Linked DNA regions of Struthio camelus. The protein of the gene in region 1 purifies or fractionates together with the protein of each later gene. This does not show direct contact. Links are inferred from orthologs where the notes say so. Each region holds a gene or a part of one and is shown on either strand. Other genes may lie near its edges.

What was found. The genes of interacting proteins can lie anywhere in the genome.
Region 2: the proteins of CBX3 (region 1) and CCDC71L purify together in Homo sapiens (affinity purification with mass spectrometry; 3 studies listed by BioGRID and IntAct, with this or other methods). This does not show direct contact. The link is inferred for Struthio camelus from reciprocal best matches to the Homo sapiens genes CBX3 and CCDC71L.

What each region holds. Positions count from the first base shown.
Region 1 is NC_090943.1:38,642,215-38,649,755, reverse strand, and holds the start of CBX3 (chromobox protein homolog 3), read right to left. Parts: upstream 3,022-7,541; 5' UTR 2,604-3,021; exon of another isoform or gene 2,511-2,603; intron 1,983-2,510; coding exon of another isoform or gene 1,953-1,982; exon of another isoform or gene 1,850-1,952; intron 1,840-1,849; exon of another isoform or gene 1,566-1,839; intron 448-1,565; exon of another isoform or gene 310-447; intron 1-309. Other genes in the region: HNRNPA2B1 (heterogeneous nuclear ribonucleoproteins A2/B1), read left to right, coding at 1,953-1,982, 7,348-7,458.
Region 2 is NC_090942.1:15,913,804-15,921,013, forward strand, and holds CCDC71L (coiled-coil domain-containing protein 71L), read right to left. Parts: upstream 2,334-7,210; 5' UTR 2,168-2,333; coding exon 1,307-2,167; 3' UTR 508-1,306; downstream 1-507.

The DNA of each region.
Region 1 (7,541 bases):
ATCCCAATACAAGCATGGTCCTTGTTCCAACCCCCATGTATTCACTGCACATAACACTCCTAATACGGATTAAATCCAGAACAAAAAGTAGGTTACTACTTTGTCCAGCGTAACCCAGTAACACACCGTTATGCTAGCCAGGATACACGATACCGACAAAGTCGTATATAGAGTTGAAAAAAGGTTTTCCCAAGGCCTTCTAAGGCTCAGAGATGTTTCTAGGGAAAAGGGGGAGGACCATCAGGGATGCATATTTCCTTAAACCCAAGAGAAGAAGAGTAGAGATTCTAGCAGTTAATCAAGATATACCTAGATGTATTAACTGCGAATCTGGTGGGGAGCAGCTACATATCTGCAGTGTAATAAGGAGTCACCCATTACTCTTACATAGTAGTAAATGCTTATCAACAGCCAAACGTTATCTTAATGCAACTATAACGTTGCCTTCTGATTTTCAAGTTTGCAAGAGTTAAGGTTCCTATAGCAATACTAACTCAGCAGCTAAGCTGTACATACTATGTATGTAACCTAAGCAAATGATGTTGAACGCGATCCATCCCCTTTTCCACGTCGTTTCTCATACTGGCCACCTCTGTAGGCATGTATTATCCCCGCCTGACTGCAAACTATAGAGCTGTTACAATTTTGCATTTGCCCGGGCAAGGCAAGAGAAGTCCTTCTCCAAGGCCAGAAAGCCTCCTCGGCTCTGCGATCCCGCCCAACTCGCCTCTTATGTGAGAGGGGGGTTTTGGCAGCCCCAAAGGCGGTGGGGTGGGTGAGGTGGGAGGGCAGGGATCAGGGCCCCGGCGCGGTGGGCCATGCCATGTCTCCGTCTGAAAGGCAAGGGAGAGGGGAGAAGCAGCAATTCCCCCCGCCCCCCACCCGAAAATAAAACGGAATAACCCCCGGGAGGCCTGGGGGCGGTGGGGGGGGCAGCGCAGCGGCTCAGGCCTGCGGCGGGCGCAGGCGAGGCGGCCGGGGCCGAGCTAACGGGACTAAGGCGGGCCGGCCCGGGGGAGGGGGGCGAGGGCCGCGGGAGCCGCCCGCCCGCCCGCAGCGCCCTCGCCGCGGGGCCGGGGCCCCCTCGCCGCCCGCCTCCCCCGCCCCCAGCGCCGCCACGTTTCCCCCGGGCCCCGCACGCCGCCGCCCGGAGCCTGGCGCCTGAAGGCGGCGCGGCCGGCCCAGGCCGCCCCCTCGGCGCTGGCGGGCGCGCTTTGTCTGGCGAGCGCGGGGGCCGCCGCCGCCCCCTCATCCCCCCCGCCCCGCCAGCCGAGGGGCCTCCGTGGAAATGCCAGGGCCCCACGAAGCCCCGCTCCTTCCGTTACCCCCCGCCGCCAAGGAAGCGGCAGCGCTCGGCTGAGGGCGGCGGGGGGGGGGGGGAAGGGGGGCGAGGCGGGCTGCCCCCCGCCTTTCCCGCCGTGGCCTTGAGGCGAGGGCCGCGGTGCAGGAGCGCTCCGCGGGGCGCCCGCTCCCCCGTGGCGGGAAGGGGGGGGAGGAGGAGGAGGAGGCGGCGGGGGGGGGGAAGGTTATCGAAGCGAGAGAAAGAGGGAGAGAGAGAAGGATACAGACTTCAATGGTGCTCAAGCCGCTCGGGTTTCCCGTCTCCTCCTCGCTCTCGCCCTGCGCGCACTGAGCAGCGGCGGCAACAGCGACATCTGAGGGGGGTTGAGGCGGGCGAGGGGGGGGTGGGGGAGGGGAAGGGGGAGGGCGGGGCGGCAGCGGCTGGGCGGCAGCGCGGCGCGGCGCGGCGCAGGGCGGGAGGCGGCGGCTGCTGGCGGGGCTGGGCTGGGCGAGCTCTGCGTGCCGGCGACTGACGGGGCAGAGCGCACGACGCCGCCTACGCGCGAGCTGCAACCTCCTCCCGTCGTCGCCGCCAGTACAGGAGGGGGGCCAAGACGTCTCTCCAACGGGGGGCGAGTGCAGGACCGCGTCAAGCGTCCAAAAGAAGGAAGATGCCTCGCGGCGACAGAGAAAGCGACTGGGTGAGCGGGAAGTGGCGGGAGGGGGAAACGGGCCCGGCGGGCCGGTAGCCGCCGCCGCCGCCATGATGATCATCGCCATGAGGGCGTGCTGGGTCGGGGCGGCCGCCGCCCGCCGCAGGGCGAGCGAGGCCTTCAGTCCGTGCGGGGGGGCGCCTGGGGCGATCCCCAGGTGCGGGGAAGGCGGGCAGGGAGCGTTTGAGCGGCTTTGAAGTTCGTTTTGCCGTTGCTGAGGCGGGCCCGGGCCGTTTGGAGCGCGGCCATTTCCCGCGTTGCGGCGAGGCGGCCTAGTCTTGAGCGAGCGCCAGGGAGGGGGGAGGGGAGGGAGGAAAGCGGGAGTTGGAAAGCGGTTGGGGGCCTAGAAAGCCCTTTATTAAGTGGGGGAAACGGGTCCGAGTCAGTTTAGGGTGCTTCGCTCCGGGAGAGGGGTCGCTTCCCGGGGAGCTGGGAGGAGGGGGAGGAGAAGAGGGGGCGGGAAGAAAGGAGCAGCCCTAGCGCCATTTCCCTGGTGCGCGGGGCGGCGGCACTCACCCTTTGTCGCGGTGTGTGCGGGGCCGGTGAAGAGAGAAAAAGGGAGGGAAAGAAAGGAGGAAGGAGAAATAAATGTCTAAGTGAGTGGCTTGCCCGATGGGTTTTCTGTCCGTGTTGCGGGGTAGAGCGGAGCAGGCTGCGGCGAAGTCCGCCTCCCTTCGCTGGCTCTCGGCCCCCGGCGATGTCTCGGTGCTGGCGCCAAAATCTGGGCAGCTATCACTTCCTCCTACCCGGGCGGAGGGGGAAGGGGCCAACCCGCCGACAAAAAGGGGAGATGTCGGGGGCGCGCGTAGGCACCGCGCTGTGCTCCCGCCCGGGCCCTGCCAGTACCACAGGTGGCCGGGGGGGGGGAGTAAAGGTGGGGGGGGGGAACGAGCCCTTTGGCTAATTATAACCCCCTTGCTTTGAGGTTGAGTCTTCGGGGCGGTTCGGCAATTTCCGGAAAAAAAAAAAAAAACCACCCACGACGCGGTGCCAAGTCTGGTCGGGGCCGTTTCGGCTCCGCTCGGGCACGTATTAGAAAGCTCTTCCGTTGTCGGAAACTGCCGAAGGCGCTGTATCGTCGATGGCTGCTGCGTCTTTCTCTCCGGAAATTGCCGAGTGGGATCGGATCGCCATTCTTGTCCGTTTCGGCAAATTCCGGAAATAGCCGAAGCGAATCGAATGGGCTTCCTTTCCTATTTCGGCTTTTTCCGGCGACTGTCGAAGTGGATAAGCTCGACGACGACAGCTCCTTCGGCTCATTCCGGAGACAGCCATTACTAACGGAGTTGATGACTTTTTATTACGTGATTAAAACACATAGGGGCGTTATACAGAACTGTTGCCCCTTTGGAGATATTTAAGCTCCAGATTCGAGCTTTTTGACTAAAACATCGGCAGCGAGTCTGGGCTGGAGAAGGAGGGCGCTAGCACTACGTGGAGCTGAATTTCAAATTACGTAACAGTTAAGGCAGCCATTACTGAGCAGTTGTGCGGTATTCTCAAGCAGGGATACGTAAACCATGAAGAATATGGTATGTGAAAAGGGAAAAATACAGATTCGGCTGTTAGGGAGGGTGGCGTGTCTGGTTGTGGAGATGGAGTGCTTTTTCAGGATCGGGGGGTTAGGAGCAGAGTCGTCCTCGGGCAGCGTAGGTCTGGGTGCTGCTGCCGACCCCCGTTAGCGGCGGCGCGGCTAGCGGCTAGGTGCCTCTCCGCAGAGGAAGCGTTAGCAGGGAGGAAGGTTCTGGAAGCGGCGGTTGGGGCTGGTGCGCACTCGAGAGGGGAGGCGGAAGCTGCGGTAGCTGTGCGTGCGGGTACGAATTCTTAAATCTCCCGACATGTCCTTTAGCTGAGCTGCCGTTAGGGTGGTGCTGCGGGGAAGGGAGAGGGGGACACACACCACTATGGAGGTCAGTTAATGCGCGATCCGGGACTCTACTTTGCCCTGCGGGACGCTGAGCGGCCGGGGTGGCGCTGCTGATAATGGCGGTAACGAGGGGGAGGGGTAAAATGGCGGCGCCGAGACTCGCTCGTGCGTGAGGCTTTCAGGATGAGACCTAGGAGGGGAAAGGGGGTAGGGAGGGAGAGCAGTAGAGGCTGAGAGCCAGGCTGCCGTTGTTATCTTTATGGGAACAGAAAGCAATCGCTTGCAAGCTCTCCCTGGTAAGGCGTGTGTAGCCGGACGCTAGAAGCGGTTTGCAGCGACTGATTTGTGTTTTTCCTGAAGGCCCGAGTGTAACTTAGCTTCTTTATTCTGGCGTCGGTTCTTTGTGAATTTCTTTCCTTCCCGCCGCATCGCTTTCCCTGGAGGCAACGGTTGCTTCTGGGCGCCATTTTCCTCATCTAACTGCGGGGGCCCTTGTTTTCCTGATAGCCGCCACATGGCGGAGCCGGCATGGCAGCCGCTTCACTCCTGATAATACCGGGCTGCGGGGGAAGGGGGAGGACGTAGACTGATGGATCGGAAAGCCATGTAAGAGGTGTTAGGGGCTAACGGGGCGCGACTGCATAGCGAGTGGTTGGAAGTGTCTTTCTGGTTTGGGGCCAGTAAATCTGGGGAAGTGTAATCGCTTGGCAGTTTCCATTTTGGCGGGCAGTGCCAGCTCAGAGATTCCACTTACCTGTTTTGTTAACCGTTTTTGTTACTCGGATTCTTAACTCTGCAGAAGTCTGCAGTCAGCTTGGAGTATTTGTACCCATGCTGTTATGACACGAAACGCACTTACTTGGTCTGGTGATGGATTTTCCAGTGTAGGCTTCATGTTTTCCAGTCCTTTGAAGTGTTGCTTTTAGCCTGTGAAGGAAGGCTTAAAATAAGCCCTAAGGAAGATTTACAGATTTCCAAAAGATTTTCTCTCACAGTTTGTTACTGCGGTAGAATGCACTCTGGAAGTCTTTAAAGGAGTTTTTTTATTCTGTCTTTTATATTAGCTTGCTACCAAATGAGGGTTTTCATGAAGATTCTGAGTGGGACTGGAAGGATAATAGCTTATATCATATGTTTCACAGCTTCAACGTGAACCGTGTAAAAGATTATCAGAGCTCTCTGGATCTTGGTCGTAGGTTAATTCTAGATAGGAATTTGAGCCTCTTAAACAACATTTAATGCAAATAGACTATGTTCAGAGGCTCTGCCTGTATTAGTGGAACAGCATGTTTATGATGTTTTCACACAGTGGTTTTGATTCAAGAAGTGATAGGGTTTTTTTTATTGCTATGTCCTGACATGTATGCGGTGCCTAGATGTTGGTTTTGGGTAGGGCACATGCTGTATGACACTAATACACAGGAGATGATGAATGTGAGAATTCTTAAGAATGCAAGAGTGTTTCATTTTTCTGTTTTATGTTTTTTAGTAATGTATGATACATGTTTGTCCTTTAATAATCAAACCAACTTTTTATGGCTCGTAGCGTTCTTTGCTTGAGTTTCGTTTAAATTTCTGTCGCTGTTTTCACAGATAAACGTTTATGAGAAATATCAGTATGCCTACTGAATTTGCCTGAATTTGCGTATTTCTGTCCTAGTTGCATTATTAGACATGTGGTAATTGATTATACAGGGAGAAGTGTTCTTTTCTGGTCGTGTGAAACTGTAGCAAGTACTTCAGCTCTGCTGCTAGAAAATTAGAGACTAATGTGAAGAGAGAGGTTTTTTTGCAGTATCATTACTTTAAATGATTTCTTAGCTTACTTGGGTTCTTAAATAATAGTATGCATGCCTTGCCACATGTGACTTACCAAATGAGGTATGCACCACCCCTTATTCCATTTAAGAGCTCATAGGAAAGAAACGGTAACGTGGGTTTACCCCTTTTAAGTTATGTTGTGACAAATTTTGCCCATCTGCACAATGAGAAGGTAGCTTCCTTTGTGTTTCTTAGAAAATACTTGGAACCCGCTATAGGATCTAGCGTTTCTGAGTGACACTGAAATTGATTGTTCTCAAATGCAGCATTTATATCAAAATTGTTTTTATGATTGTTGACTTGTTTCTCAGACTGAATGCAGTATCTTCAGCTGGTGATAGTGATCTCTTTTTTTTTTTTTTTTAATCAAAACTGATTCAGTATTGCTTCTAATAATGGTCTTCCTTGTTAATTGATTCTAGATGCTATCTGCTCTGGACAAGCTCAGAAAGCATATTTTGGCCTGCAGGATGATTGGCTAACACTTTTCAAAGTATCTGCACTAGGCTTTTTTGTTTGTTTTCCAAATCTCATTATTTTTCATTGGTTTTCTAATATCCTTTTTGCATTTCTCCTATTGCACAGTGCATAATTAGTTATGGTGTGTTGCTTAGTTGTAGCGAATGGTGGCGTGCTGGAGGTGTTTAAAAAAAAAAAAAAAAAAAAGGTGTTCCTGATTTTAAAATGACTTATCATTATAAGGGTGAAATAGTCATTGTATTCGAACTCTTATTTGGCAGGAGACCTGGCAGGACAGTTATATCTCTTTAGAGCAAGAGTCTGATGTCTTTTAAAGTTTGTGAAATAGGACTATTGTTTGTGTGCGGTTGTTTTTCTTTTTTTTTTTTTTTTTTTAAACCATTGCTGTTTGACGTAGAAAACTACAGAGTGCCTAATCTAGTGACACACTGTCATACAGAAAATGATCTTTTTGATGCCTTACTATATTTTCTTTTTTTTTTTTTTTTTTTTTCAATTGATGGAGGTTGGGAGATTGTTTCTTTCTGCTTTGGTGTATACTGTATGCAAAATAATAGATGTAAAGCCTACTTTATTCTAGTTCCAATGGTGCCCGATCCCAGACCTAGATTAATTTTGCAAATACTCTAGTTTTATACATTTTAAAGAGTTAATAAAGGGAAAATGAATCAATGACCTGTTGTAAAAGGTCTAAAGCTATCTCTTTGTTTTTTAATGTCTTGGGAAAATAGTATGGTTGTATTCATGTGCAGCAAGTTGAGGCAGAACATTTTTTAAAAATATATGCTATCTGGAATAGAATCATACAGTATGAACGGGTTGGTGTTACCTGTAATGAGAACGTTTTGTTAGTTCGCAGCATTGTTTTTCCTGGCACAACCTGAAAAAGCTTCTGATAAGACCTTTGGGAGGATTCCTCTTCTGGGAGTATTTAAATGTAGTCTCTTTTTTAATGTTTGGAGGGAGAGATGGGAAAAGTACATTGTTAAAATCTATATCATAGAATTGCACAAGTTGCTTAATTTCTGGAATAGAAGTCAAACATTGTAGAACCGCCTAATCTTATCTTGAAAAATGCTTTCTACGGAAAGTTTTTAACTCTTAAGAAAATCTCACTGACTGTCTAATTGTGCAGTAGGGGAAATGCTGTAAATTGTATTAATGTAAACTTCTTTTCTGTGATAGAGGGAAAAGGAGCAGTTTCGCAAACTGTTCATTGGTGGCTTAAGCTTTGAAACAACAGAAGAAAGCTTGAGGAACTACTATGAACAATGGGGGAAGCTTACAGATTGTGTGGTAAGTTGGGCATACCAATTCATATAATGATGATATCATACGTTTAGAAAGGATTAAAAATAGATTTTTGTTTCCTGAACAGT
Region 2 (7,210 bases), on another chromosome or scaffold:
AACTGCAAGGTGCAAGATCAAAACAAAGCCCTTAAAAAGACAGTTTGAACAAAGATTGCTTACCCCTTAGAGTGACAATGTTATTTTTCAGTCGAAATAACTAAGCTGATGAAGCTAGCATCAGAGGCTACAGTGAAATCCAAGAGAAGTTTACATAAAATATTTATGTGCAAGTAATTACATTAATATGATTATCCACCATGAGTCACCTAGTAACCCAAGATGACAACCAGTGCTGTTTCGTTATGAAGTCTTGCCCCTTTTTGCAGAGATAGGCACTTCAGTGTGATATTCGGGTCGTGTGAACTACAGCCTTTTTGCTGTGACAACATCATATGATAGCATGCCTTAAGACACCTATGTATTGCTTTGATGAGCAGATACATTCTTCACCACCTCTGAGCTTGTTCACTGGAAACACCCAGTTGTGTCTTCGTTAAGTGACATACATGGTGTAGTTCACCAGCAAACCCATGCCTGTGCAGTCAGCTTCACTGAACTGAAACATCACTTTTCTTTGACTTTTATTAAGTTCACTTCGGTTGACCAAATGAGCTTCCCTAAAGTAAACAGGGTTATAAAATATCAAGATGATTCTATCTTTAGGTGCTCAATAGAAACAAATACTCAGTTCAACTAGAAAACTTTAAAAATGACTTTAGATACAAAAGTGTAACAATTATACTGCGCAATACATCTTTATATATCACTAAGCCCATGAAATTAAAAAAAAAAGTTTTTGCACCATCAAGAACTGCCACAAGTCCTGAACCTCCATTCTTTATGCATCCTTAATCAGAGTAAACTGAAACTCGGGAATGCTTGGGATTCAAAATACCCTGAGCACATACTAGTGCAACACCACAAAGCATACATAATCCATTGGATGGGGGGGGGGGGGGGGGGAAGAAAAGGAAAGGAGGGGAAGGGGAAAAAAAAAGGAAGAATCAGATGGTGCTTTATTATACAAGCATGAAAGTAAGTTCCTTTGGAAAATAACTTCTTGGGTGGACTTCTGGACCAGTGAGGTAGCCCAATGGGAGGAAAAAAGGTGGAAGTGGAACTTGGTCCCCACGCGAGACGCCGGCCGGACAGTCCCTCGCGTCTGGCCGCGCCCCGGCGGCGGCGAGGCCAGAGCCGCCGGGCTGCGGCGGGGCCCGGTGCCCCGGCCCGAGCGAGGCATAAAGTGCAGCAGAAGAACATGATCCAGACAAAAGCAATGTAAACAGGTGACTGATACCGGTCTCTTTGTCCGCACCGCGGCGAAGGTGAGGCGCCGTCCTCGCCCCCTCCCGGCCCCGCGGCCTCAGGACGGCGCCAGCGGGAAGCGGCGGACCCGCACCACGGGCGACAGGTCCACGCCGAGGACCCGCTGCGCCCGGCGCCGCGCCGCCGCCAGGCTCCGCCGGCTCCACACGCTGCCCCGCACGCGGATGGTGGGGAAGGTGGTGAGGCGGGGGGTGGCCGCCTCCCAGATCTCCTCCAGCGACTTGCCGCCGAAGGGCTCCCAGGCGGCGCCCTCCGCCGCGCCCGCCCGCTCGCTGTCCTCCTCGCCCGGCGGCCCCGCCGCCACCGCCGCCGCCGCTTCCTCCCCGTCGCGGGCCGGCTCCGCGGCCGCGTCGGCGGCGCGCTGCCTCCCCCGTGCCCTCCTCCGGCGCCGCCGCCGCCGCCGCCGCTTGGCGCTGCCGCCCGCCGCCACGGCCCGGCGCTTGGCGTCGGCGGCCGGCAGGCGCCGCTTGCCGGCGCGGCGGCGCGGCCGCTCGGCCGAGGGCGGCGGCGGCTCGGGGACGACGGCGCGGCAGGAGGCGTAGCCGTAGACGTCCTTGCTGCGCAGGATGACCGGGGAGAACTCGTGCTTGAGGCTGCAGAGGAAGTTCCACAGCTCCGAGTCGGAGCTCATGAACTCCGTGGACTTGGGCATGAAGAGCTTGAGGGCGTCGCCCAGCGCCTTGGTGCCGGCGAAGGAGACCTGCGAGCGCGAGTACACAACTTTCTCCGCCTCCCCGTCCAGCCCCCAAGCGGCGGGCGCCGCTCCGCCGCCGTCACCGGCTGCTGCTGCTGCTGCTGCCCCCGCCGCCGCCGCCGCGGCTCCCGCGGCGCTCCCCGCTTCTTGCTTCATCTTCCCGGCTCCTCTCTCCAGCGCCGCCTGCTTCCTGCTGCGGGTCATGGAGGCGGAGGGAAGGAGGGGAAACAAGGCAGAGCACAAGCCGTCGCTCGCAACCCGCCGCCGCGGCCGGGCGCCCGCCGCCGCCGCCTGGCCTCGCCCGCCGCCTCAGCGCCGGGTGGGGAGCGACGATCGATATCCTACCGCCCGGCACAAAATGGCGCTTTAAAGTCCCAGGCGGAGACTGCGCGGCGGCCCGCCCTCCCTCGGCGCCCGGCGGTTGGCCCGTTTGAAACTGCGTCAGGCGGCCGAGCCCCGCCCCCTCGCCCGGGGCTGGCCATTGGGAGCGCGGCGGGAGCCCCCCCGGGAGGCCGCTGTGGAGGGAGCGAGGGGGCTGCTGGGAGCTTCCTGCCCGGCGGTGATGGGGCAGGGCCCGGGCTGGGGCCTGGGCTGGGGCCGCCCGGGGGCATGCGGGGGCCAAGGACGCACGCGGCGTCTCGCTGCGCCTCGCCTCCACGTCCCCCGTGGGGTGTCCCGTGTGCTGGCCTTCCTTTTGGCTCGGGGGCGCCCGCCATGCTGTGCCCGCTCTGGCAGCGGGCCGACGGGCCTCCCGCCACCTCCCATCCCACACCTCCTCACAGTGCGAGGTTCCTCACGGGGCAAAAGCGGCAGCCAGAGAAATTGTTTTCTGAAAGTATATTTGAGTAAGGATTTAGTTAGATGCTTCCAAGGGCAAGCTGTCCCAGAAGAAAGGGAGCAAAGGCTTAGTGTCTCGTTGGAAGCAACAAAAAGATTTTGTGACACACACAATATGGGGAAGTCCACCATATAATACTAAATGCATCCACTCTCTTGCTGCAGGGTTTTTTTTAACATGATCCTCAAAGTCAACGGCATGATCAAGACACTGAAATAGTCACCATCGTCCTTGTGATTGGTTTCCTATGCCAAGAAAGCAGACTGGTAATGAAGTCTGAAAAACTCAGCCTTGGCATTGTTGAGTCTTAAATGAGATAGTCTCCTGAGCCGCCGGCTTGCTGAGTTCACAGCACCGTTCCTTCCTGCGTGGCGTTCCTGTGCTGGTAGCTTTCTAGTACAATTCAATCAGCTGTCACAAAATCGCATGTCTTTCTGAGACTGTACTCTCCAATAATTTAGAGATTGCTACCACTAGGGAGAGTGCCTTAACTTCGTCGACTTTCTAGATTGTTTCAGCTAAACCACAGCTCTTTCCAGCTCCCAAAACAGCAAAACGTCAGAAAAAAGAGCAGAGGAGGCTTAACGGTCCCTACAATTGGCAGATGTGTGAAGAACAGAATCCTGCTCTGGGCTGGATTAGATTCCTACTTAGCACTTTCACCTTCTTTGGTGAAGGGCAAAGAATAACATTATTTCCCCTCATAGACAGTCTTTGTTCTGTATTTAATCTTTCAGTTTAGAATAGGGAAATCTTTTATTCTCAATTCATCAAGAACCTAAATTGGAACGTCTAGAAAAGCAGTCAAATACAAGGAAGAAATTATGCATAAGAAATGATTGCCAATGGAAATAACTGCATTTTCTTCACAGTCTAATTTGGCTTGTGTTCATGGGAAGCGCGGGGAAATCAGTCCAAATAACCATTTGCAGCCGAATATTAACAGAACCACCTTAAATCTTTATGGGGACATTCTCCAGCTGCAGCTGTATTCTGAACCAGCTTTATAAAATTATCCGTTCTTAGAAAACACCTTTTCCCAAAACTGTGACGTCAGTAGATTTTTTTTAATGAGATTCATTTTGTAGCCTATTTCAGAGCACAGTTATCCAAACACTCGGATCAGTATAGCTGAGAAGAATAAGAACATGTAGCTGGAAGTGTTCAGACCAGGCACCTCTTGATCCAGCTCTGTTGCAGTTAATCGCACTCTTGTGTACGAATGCCCGCCCATTCAAAGCCACTGCGTAACCACAGCTGAGCAAGTGGCTCATCACCTGCTGAACCGTGATAACTGACGTGCTAATGTTCTTTGTGGCGGAAGGTCATACACGATCAGATTCAGCAGCTCATTAATGAGTGGGAATTCATTAAACTTCAGAAACCCCTATCATTGGCCATAACCTTTTTCCTCAAGTTACAGACATTTCTGGCATGTGACTAGAAAATCATTGAGGTAGAGGATAGGGAATTTTCAGCAAGCAGTAAATGAGTCACCCTAGGTACAAGTTAAAAGACAGATTAGTACATTTTTGTCTTAATCAGCATGTATTAATAACTTTAACTTTTTTGCTTCTAGCATGGGCAAAAACCATGGAAAATGATCTCAGTTTTACAAATCCATTATGAGTTTTCTACACTGTAACCACTCTCCTTACAAAGTCATCTCAGGAAAATGCATGGTAATTGGCTATCTTTCAATAATTTACAATATCTCAGTACAGTCTTAAGGATGATAATAAAATTAATAATCCTTTGCCAAGTACCCAGCTCTTCATTGTAGTCATACTACTGCTTATAAGCATTAATTATCACTCACAGCACTCTTGAATTATGTAAGTAAATATTGCCTCTCTAACAGATGAATAAAATGGAAGAATTAATTAAAATGGTTTGACTAAGATGTATGGACTCAGTGATTTAATTTTCCGTAGATCTTCTTAAATTCTAACAATCATCATTCTAGAAATGCAGTGAATATTCACACTGAAACAGAAGAAAAAAGTCTAGTAATATTTGCTCACATATCTTAGAAACCTTTTCTCTATAGAGCTGTTGAGAACAGCGGATGAAGTATCACTTGGCAAATTACTTAATGGCCATTTTATCTTCTTAAATAATTTCTACTTAACACAAATAACCACTGGTAACTGCTAAAAAATGTTATCTGTAAAACTTTACGTATGATCACACGGAGTTTTGAGTACAGCTGATAAACCCTGAAATCCTGGATATCAAGTCACCCAACTGCTGCTGCTGGGGCTTTTCCTCTAGTGCAGAATTTACATGGATGCTCTGCTACCCAGATTAGCAAAGGCAGTCTTTTACTGTGCAACACCTTTACAAAAAATCATTCTTTTCAGATACCTTTAGCTCTGCTGTGGAGAGGTTAAATTGACTAGAAGCCTGCTTCAGGCATTTTGCTTCCTAAACGCATTTCAGAAATAACATCTTTCCTCAAAGCCATAGCCTCAAGAAAGCTTTTGTGACAATACAAGCATGGCTCCACATACATTTACCGCCACACACATTCAGGTGTTCCCCCATGCAGTCATCAGGTTCCTGGGTCTGAGAAGTGCCTAGACAAGCCACAGCAAAGTTCCTGAAAACACATTCAAGGACAGACAAAAGCAAATGATTTGCAAGAACAGTCTCTAAATCAGTTTTGCAGAAAAAAATCTTGGAATCATTGTATATTTTTAGGAAAATGTCAATACAGTGGCAATCGGAAGGGAAATAAAATGTTAGGAATTGCTATGGAAGAAATAGAAAGCAAAACAGAAAACAGTATTCTGCTGAATTTAAGTCCATTGTGCCTCCACAAATCTTGAAGACTGTGTTTCTAGTCCTACCGTCTCTAAAAGGATATAGTTAATGATACAAACAAGGGCAACTAGGATTAGCAGCAATATAGAATGGCTTCTCTATGAAGAGAGATTAAATAGACTAAGACTCCTGAGCTTGGAAAACAGATGGCTGAGGAAGAATATGATAAGGGTCTATAAAACTGTGATAGTAAAAGCAGGCAGATAAGAAATGATTATGGCTTAGTTCTCATAATCCCAGAATGAAAGGGAAGCACATGAAGTTACAGGGCAGAAATTTTTTTGCTCTCCAGCAAAGTTGTGGGTGTCAGAGTGGAATAGTGTACCCCCAAAACATCAGATGAGTTCACTAAGAAGGGGATACAGATGTTATGGAGCATTCAGTGTGATTAGACAGAAGTGAAAGAAAAGAATCCATCAAGTTCATTAAGGGCTATTGAGCAAGAAAACCAAGCCTAATACCGTGGGCTCAGAAAGTCCCAAAGCCAAGTGTTAGGAGTGGAAGGAAGAACACATCAGTGGAGATAACCCTTAATATCTGCACCATTCTTATACTCTTTCCCTAAACTTCCTTTTCTGGCCTCTAACGTAGAAAGAACGCTGGACTTGAGGGGCCCTGGATCTAGCTGTCAGGGCTGGTCCTACTCCGCAATCCTAGTAGAAGACAGACTAGGGCAACTACCACAATAAAATGTAATGTTTTTTCTAGAGCTTTACTGTTGCAACAGCTTGCAACAGCTGGAAGAACATGTCCTAGAACTAAAAAGCAATGAAGTATTTGCTGAGAACACGGTGCAGAGGTTATAGACTCCATCCAGCGCCAGGACCCCAACTTGGGCAGCAGCCCAGCAAGGATGGACACTGAGATAAAGTGTATTCCACTGGTTCTGATTATTGCATGTTCATCTTCCTCTTTGTTCATAGCCTTAGTACACCCTCCTGCAAGTGATGACTGACCATGTGCAAAGAGGGGAAAAAAAAAGATATTTTAAAATAAGCATTTTAATAGCATTAATGAATGCTATTAATGTTTGGAAGAGAAAAAAATCTCAAATATATTTTAGCAGAAGCCTTTGATACATTCAAAAAACCCCTCAAGTAACAGTAAACAAGAAAATATATGAAGAAGCATGCTCTGTGATACAGAAAGCACTCTTTGAAGATATTTTAGTAGAAGCTGTATATCATTTGTTTCCACATTCTGGTAAGTAATGTGCATGTGATGCACATAACTATATAAACTGTGTATCACTTATATCATCATTGTCCTGTCATTAGTGAATGCTGAGGATAGCTGTACAGGTGGTCACTGCAGTTTTTAGAGCTGATAATGATCTCTTGGTCTAAAACGTTAAGTCTTTGGCTGATATATCAAAAGTGAAAATTCTTTTCTTGCTAAGCCTGTTTTTATTTCATCTTCCTTTTCTCTTATTCCCTTCAATCCACCTAAGTCATCTGCTTAACCATTCATGTTGGTTTTGACTACATTATACTCTGAAATTTTCTATCTTTACTACCCCTAAAGTAGTTCATCTGATGTTAACTTTACTGTAGACAAGGTAGCAGTATTTTAACCACCATAGC